2 linked regions of the Arabidopsis thaliana genome follow. The protein of the gene in region 1 interacts with the protein of each later gene in a biochemical or structural test. Each region holds a gene or a part of one and is shown on either strand. Other genes may lie near its edges.

Region 1 (3,927 bases):
TTAATTTATCAATCATGCTTTGATTGAATAGTTTAGATGGTAAATATTCAGCTGAATGACAAAAAAAAGGTTATATTTCTCAAAGTTGGTTCATGTTTAGGATTAGGCCTAGAAGCGGGTTGATATTGGGCCTATACTGGGCTGAACTGTTTTCCTTTGAAAATTAAGGATAAGATCTACATTGTGAACGACAAGCTGGGCTCGATTGTTTCGGGCTCATAAGGGGATATTATTATTATTTAATCAATTTCTGCAAAATATTTACCAACATAACTTAAAACAAATTCTAACAATTAGGATGACAACAAATCTACCATTTTTTTCGTGGTTTACCATTTGTTTAATTTACGAAGTAGTTGTGAAAATAAACTTGAAAGGAAATATTGTGTCGTATAAGTTATAACTCATTTTTGAATGGTGAATTTGATAAATATTTTTAGACACATGTTTATTATATTATCAAACTGCTGACAAGAAATATATTAATATGAATGAGCATTGACCATTGGACATAAATCCAAACGAAGAGTTCTTAAAACATACGCTATGATATCAGATGACGGTAATAACAAATTAATACATACGCTAAAATTTACAGAAAATACAAGATTTTTTCACTTTCTCTATTTTTTAACGAAATATTTGTCGACTTCTGAGGTAATCGATGTTAGCCTTGAGTTTTGTAATTTGTATAAAAAATGTACTCCAATCACAATAATTTTGGTGTATAATAAATCCAATTAAACTAAACAAATGCATGTTGTTGGACTTACTTTAAGTCGGTTCAATATTTTGTAAAATACCATAGAATATTGAAGGTGGATTCTATTCCCCATTTACATTTATTTATTTTCCTTCTATTTTCGACATACTTTAAAATTATATTATTACCCATTTGTTCGGCTTTATGGACAATTATTGGTGTAAATGACCATATATTTCCTAATGTCTGCTGATACAAACAAACGGTAACTTCTAAACTTTCAATTTGTTTAATTTATTACATCAAGGTTTATCTTTCAAAATAAATTTAAAGAAAAACTGCTTCTTACCTATTTGATAAGTTGATAGTAATGTTTGTGTTAAATCTCCTCATAGACGTCGCTTTACCTATTAATTACCACTATAATTTAATTTCATAATTGGATTTAGTGTCACCCTAATTTTAGTACGAGAGATCTCTAAAGAAAAAAGTGAAAACACAATCACAGAAAATTATTACAATTTTTAACAAGATTCTAGTATAAAACATATTGATTTCAACGTAAAGAAAATTTAATCACAAAGAAAAAAAACAATAACTTTGTAATATTGTATCTCCGTGTGATTGCTTTACACATGGATTTATTTAATTAATTAACAGATAAAACATATTAATTCCAACTTCTTCTTTCTTTCTTTTTTGGACAAAAATTTCAACTTTTTTTATAATATAACTTTTGTGTCGAAAATATATACTTTTCCTGAAAAAGAGTGATAACTAATTAAAAAAAAAATGTTTAGAAGTACAAAAGAAAAGTATTGTTTCCAAATTCGAGAAAAAGCTGTAATCACGCCCTTGTGTTTAATTCTCAATAAATCACATTTAAAAGCGATTTTTTTAACGGCCCAGATATTGTCACGTAGGATAACGTACTCCGTATATTCTCCATTTCCGAACCATCCGACCAGGTCGCATCATATGTTGTGAAAAAATCGTTATGGAAGAAACTCTGTTTTAGTTAGATCCAATAATATTAAGCCACGTGGAATTGATGAATCCAATCTTCTTTATAAACTCCGTTTTCGGAATTTTGATTTTGTTTAAAATGTCTTACAAATTTATATAAGGAAACGGCAAAAGAGCCCAAAAAGTAACAAAAGACAAAACAATTAAAGGAAAAAAGAAAGAGTCAAAAGAACTCGAACTATCATATAATAAGAAAAGAAAAAGACATAGGACAAAATAAAATATATTCATATTCACAAAACACAAAACAAAATTGTTAATCAAATAGTATAAGACTAAAAATGCCTGATTAGGGGAAGGTAGTTGTTGTTGAATAGTGACTAGAACGAGTTAAATGGTTTGAGATCTCCAAGTTTACATTTCAACATCTCAGATTTTAATCCAACGGTTCTCAATCCTTCTACTACGTAAAAACACCACCGTCCCCGTTCCGTTCCGTTCTGTTCTCTCTGTCACTTTTGTCTCTTCTAAGTTTTTAACACTTACCTTGTCGTCTCTGTTCTTCTTCTTCTCTCATTCCTTTCGTTTATCGTTTTCTTCTTCCAATTTTGGATCTCTCTTCCTTTTGATCTGATTCGTTACTTGCTCTATGTTGCTTCAATTTTGAATTCTTTTGATTTTTGATTGTGTGGGGGAGATGGGGCAATGTTACGGGAAGGTTAATCAGAGTAAGCAAAATGGTGAAGAAGAAGCTAACACGACTACTTATGTTGTTTCCGGCGACGGGAATCAGATTCAGCCTCTAACTCCGGTTAATTACGGTCGAGCTAAGAACACTCCAGCTAGGTCATCGAATCCGAGTCCTTGGCCTAGTCCTTTCCCTCACGGATCAGCGAGCCCTCTTCCTTCTGGTGTTTCTCCTTCTCCGGCCAGAACTTCCACTCCGAGGAGGTTTTTCCGACGGCCTTTCCCGCCGCCTTCTCCAGCCAAACACATTAAGGCTTCTTTGATCAAACGTCTTGGAGTGAAGCCTAAGGAAGGTCCGATCCCTGAGGAGAGAGGAACTGAGCCGGAGCAGTCGCTTGATAAGAGCTTTGGTTATGGCAAGAATTTTGGTGCTAAGTACGAATTGGGGAAAGAAGTGGGTCGAGGGCATTTTGGTCATACTTGTTCTGGCCGTGGTAAGAAGGGAGATATTAAGGATCATCCTATTGCTGTCAAGATCATCTCCAAGGCTAAGGTTTTAAATTCTCAATCTTTTGAACATCTAGTTTTTGATTTTGGGATTGCTTGCATTGGTGTTGAATTTTAGCTTATATTGTGATTTGTTTGTTGCTGATGCTGCTACAAGAATCTGTGGAGGGTTTTGAAATGTGGAACGAGTAATGCTTACATTTTCTCGTAGTTGAGGTAGTGAAAGTAAGATTCTTGGGTTTGGATAATGGCTGTGGGACAGTGAATTGTCTTTTTCTTCCAGCTGAGTCTCTTGAGACAAACAATGTTGTCTCTTTTGATAGGTAAATTTTTTGTTTGGCAGTGAGTTGAGTAGACAAAAATGTGAACTTTTTGTTGATTTGTCAGCATTAGGACAAGGATAGTCATCAAAGAATGAGTTTCATGTACTAATGTTTATGAGCTTTTCTTCTGCAAACATTTGTTTGTTCGAAGCTTGTAATCACAGTTAGGTTACGTTTTGATTACTTAGCTGTTGATTTTGTAAGAATGTTATGGTGTTACATGTGATATTTGTTGTCTGTTTCATCCTTTTTTGAAAAGATGATTCATGAAAAACGTAACTAGAGAAGTCTTTGTCTGGCTGCGTCCTGGGGAGACCATAATCTGACATTCCTTTTGTCTGCATTAGGACACAATGTTTTATGTATGGGCTTCACTTTTGAAAGCTCATGATTTTGGCTTATCTTTGTAATGAAGCTGGTCTGACACATTTTGGTGACAGTTGTGCTATCCTTCTCTCTAATAGAACAAGCAAAAAGGATTTGTTGACTGAATTATCTTTCTGTACTTGGCAGATGACAACAGCAATTGCAATTGAAGATGTTCGCAGGGAGGTGAAGTTACTGAAATCATTATCTGGACACAAATATTTAATCAAATATTATGATGCATGTGAGGACGCCAATAACGTATACATAGTCATGGAGTATGTCTTGTTTCCATTTTTTTTTATCAGATATTTGATGTTCTCTCTTCCTCAGGATTTTGGCTGTTACTTAAATGTTGTAACACAGAACATCACT
Region 2 (3,927 bases), 6.5 Mb from region 1:
CAATGGCTATCTTTATCTTATCATTGTACCCTGTTCGGTTGATAGCTTCTTTTACAAGCTCCAAACCTTCCTTGAGGCTGCATACAGTTGCAATTACACATATTAGGCACTAAGCCATCAAACCATAACATGGTTTTCTCAGTTTCGACAATCTACAGATGCAAGCAGATTAGCATCAGAGAGGAAAAATATATGTACCTCGAGATATCTGGAGCAAGACCACCATCTTCACCAACATTACATCCCAAACCACCATTCTTTTCTGAAATGACAGCCTGCCATAAACAGCAATAGATCATTCTCACCTTATACACAAATTTACGGATGCAATTAGAAAGGTAACTTCTAGAAAGCCATATATCTTTGAAAATTGACCTTTAAATGATGATATGTCTCAGATCCCCATTGCAGGGCCTCCTCAAATCTACTTGCTCCAATTGGGAGAATCATAATTTCCTAAACAAATTATGAAAACACAACAATCATTACATATGTAAATGAAATTACTTGAAAACCAAAAGATTTCTTGAAGAACTTTGAGAAACAGAAACGTTAATAGTGAACTTAATGTAGAATACCTGAATGGCAAAAGTATTCGAAGCATGCTTCCCACCACTCAAAACAGTGAACGCAGGTACAGGTAACACCATGTTTGCTCTGCCACTAAGATCAGAAAGATGCTTGCACAAAGGGACCTGATAATAACTTCAATCAAAATCTCCTAACTAAAGTAGGCATAAAATACATAGGATAAGAGAAAATGTTATCATTCATACCTCTTTCTCAGCAGCTCCAGCCTTGCATGCCGCAATTGACACAGCAAGTATAGCATTAGCACCAAGTTCACTCTGCAAGATATTCAAATCAAATTAATCATGAGGAGCAATGATATATGAACTTGTTACAATCCTAATAAAAGTTCCCACCTACCTTCTTTTCAGTTTTATCCAAATCTATCATAGCCTGATCTATCTGACCCTGAAGTTTTGGGTCCATACCAATCAACGCCTCAGAAATTTTTTCATTTATGTTCTTAACAGCTTTAGCCACACTGTTTCCAAGATACATTCCTTTGTCTCCATCACGTAGCTCAATAGCTTCATACCTTGAGAATCAGTAAACCAATCTCCTCATGTCAGGCTTATCATATTAGAGAATTGTATATCAATCAGAGTAAGAATAATTCTCACGTTCCAGAAGAATCACCACTGGGAACAGAAGCACGAAAAACGCCTTTGTTCGTGTGCAGATCAACTTCAACTGTTGGAATTCCTCTGCTGTCAAGGATCTGTCGTGCTTTAACCTTCGTTATCACAGATGATACAGCTTTCTTCAGATGATTAGCCTGCACTTTTCCAATTGAAGATTCAATGAGTAATGTAACATAATTTCACTTCGATACATGTAAATCAAAATTCGAAGGAAACTTACGATGAAGAGAACGGGATCTGAGGTTTTAGCCCTTACGGCGGCATTAACGGCGTCTTCGATTTTCCGAGAAAGCATATGCTTGTCTAAATACTCTTGCACAGACATCTTCTTCTTCTTCCTCTTCCACGGACTTCTCGATTCGAATCTTCAAGCAAAATTTCGATGAACAAGTTTGAATCTGAAATTCATTTTCCGATTGACTGTATTTTTTGGTTCACGCTCCGGTTCAGGCTCCGGTTCAGGATCCAATAAGCATATTCAATCATTAAAACGATGAGTTTCACTTTACAAACACATGCTTGCCGTCTGAGGATTTTGCTAGTGCACATCACTCCGTTTTAAGTCATGCAGATTTGAAATGAAAAGAGTAAAAGCCCATTTTAGGCCCAATAAGAAGTCTCTCACGTGCGATTGCCAGGTTGGAACCGCTTTTTTATCTCTCATAAAGCACGTGCGAGTGCGACGATGTTTTAGTAACTGCTCTCCTTAATGGAATCCAGCTGTCATTCACACGAACATATTTTTTTACGAAATTCAAAAAAACTTTTTATCACGAGCCATTAATTTTTGAATTTTGCCACCCGTTGCCACCTCGATTTACGTGGCATTATCTAAACCGTCGATTCGATTTCGAATTACCAAATATTAGCCGTTAAAACCTCCTTTTCTTTATAAATGGACCCTCCTCTTCTTCTCTCTCTCATAAAACAAAAGATCCTCTCTGCTTCTCCTTTCCCTTTTTCAAAATCTCTCTCTCTCTCTCTCTTTTTAGATCCAGTTTTAGGGTTTTCTTCTCTGTGAGCGAAGATGCGTGAGATTCTTCATATTCAAGGAGGTCAATGCGGAAACCAAATCGGTTCCAAGTTTTGGGAAGTGGTTAATCTCGAGCACGGGATTGATCAGACGGGACGGTATGTAGGAGATTCCGAGTTACAGCTTGAGAGGGTTAATGTATACTACAACGAGGCGAGTTGTGGAAGGTACGTTCCTCGCGCTGTTCTCATGGATTTGGAGCCTGGAACCATGGACAGTGTCAGATCTGGTCCGTACGGTCAGATCTTTCGACCGGATAACTTCGTCTTCGGTCAGTCCGGTGCTGGGAATAACTGGGCTAAAGGTCACTACACTGAAGGTGCTGAGCTTATTGATTCGGTCCTTGATGTTGTTCGCAAAGAGGCTGAGAACTGTGACTGCCTTCAAGGTATTTGAAATCCGTCTTCCTTATTTAGGTTTTTGTCTATTTAGGTTTTTGGATCTGTAAATTTAGGTTGGGTATTGGTAGTGTATGATTGTTTTTAGGTTTAGATTTCTGATTTTGAACTGTGGAATACGGATTCGGTTTTGTATTCGTTGTTTGCTTATGGTTTTGGTTGTTTGGATTTACAGGATTTCAGGTGTGCCATTCCTTGGGAGGAGGAACTGGTTCTGGAATGGGAACTTTGTTGATATCTAAGATCAGGGAGGAGTACCCAGACCGTATGATGATGACTTTCTCTGTGTTCCCATCGCCTAAGGTGTCTGACACTGTTGTGGAGCCTTACAACGCAACACTATCTGTGCACCAGCTTGTTGAGAACGCTGATGAGTGTATGGTTCTTGACAACGAAGCTTTGTATGACATTTGCTTCCGTACACTCAAGCTTAGCACTCCAAGTTGTAAGTATTCCAATGTTCTTCGATTATGAGTCAATGTTGTTACTGTATCTGTCTCTGTGGTTTATTGTTTCAGGCTTAGTTATTGATTAGTATTGAAACTTCACTCACATATTTTTTTGTTTGTTTTCTGAATTGTGCAGTTGGTGATCTGAACCACTTGATCTCTGCAACCATGTCTGGTGTAACCTGCTGTCTTAGGTTCCCTGGTCAACTGAACTCTGATCTGCGAAAGCTAGCTGTGAATCTGATCCCATTCCCTCGTCTCCACTTCTTCATGGTGGGATTTGCTCCTCTCACCTCTCGTGGATCTCAGCAGTACCGTAACCTCACTGTCCCAGAGCTCACTCAGCAAATGTGGGATGCTAAGAACATGATGTGTGCTGCTGACCCAAGACACGGTCGCTACCTCACTGCTTCAGCCATGTTCCGTGGAAAGATGAGCACCAAGGAGGTCGATGAACAGATGCTGAACGTACAGAACAAGAACTCCTCCTACTTTGTGGAATGGATCCCTAACAACGTCAAATCAACCGTCTGTGACATTCCCCCTACTGGTCTGAAGATGGCTTCAACGTTCATTGGTAACTCAACTTCGATCCAAGAGATGTTCAGGCGTGTCAGTGAGCAATTCACTGCTATGTTCAGGAGAAAGGCTTTCTTGCATTGGTACACAGGTGAAGGTATGGATGAGATGGAGTTCACTGAAGCTGAAAGCAACATGAACGATCTTGTCTCTGAGTATCAGCAGTATCAAGATGCAACGGCTGATGAAGAAGGAGAATATGAAGAGGAAGAAGCTGAGTACGAGCAAGAAGAAACTTATTGAAGAAACAGATGATA

The links.
Region 2: of the proteins of CRK3 (region 1) and TUB7, one has a biochemical effect on the other in vitro, tested with the Arabidopsis thaliana proteins (one study listed by BioGRID).

The regions. Positions count from the first base shown.
Region 1 is NC_003071.7:19,184,870-19,188,796, reverse strand, and holds the start of CRK3 (CDPK-related kinase 3), read left to right. Parts: upstream 1-1,984; 5' UTR 1,985-2,366; coding exon 2,367-2,909; exon of another isoform or gene 2,910-3,186; intron 3,187-3,699; coding exon 3,700-3,830; intron 3,831-3,927. UniProt on the Arabidopsis thaliana protein: May play a role in signal transduction pathways that involve calcium as a second messenger. Serine/threonine kinase that phosphorylates histone H3 an GLN1-1.
Region 2 is NC_003071.7:12,644,244-12,648,170, reverse strand, and holds the start of TUB7 (tubulin beta-7 chain), read left to right. Parts: upstream 1-2,113; 5' UTR 2,114-2,238; coding exon 2,239-2,632; intron 2,633-2,817; coding exon 2,818-3,087; intron 3,088-3,227; coding exon 3,228-3,913; 3' UTR 3,914-3,927. Other genes in the region: ENOC (cytosolic enolase), read right to left, coding at 1-77, 199-275, 376-456, 579-695, 777-848, 931-1,105, 1,191-1,345, 1,432-1,536. UniProt on the Arabidopsis thaliana protein: Tubulin is the major constituent of microtubules, a cylinder consisting of laterally associated linear protofilaments composed of alpha- and beta-tubulin heterodimers.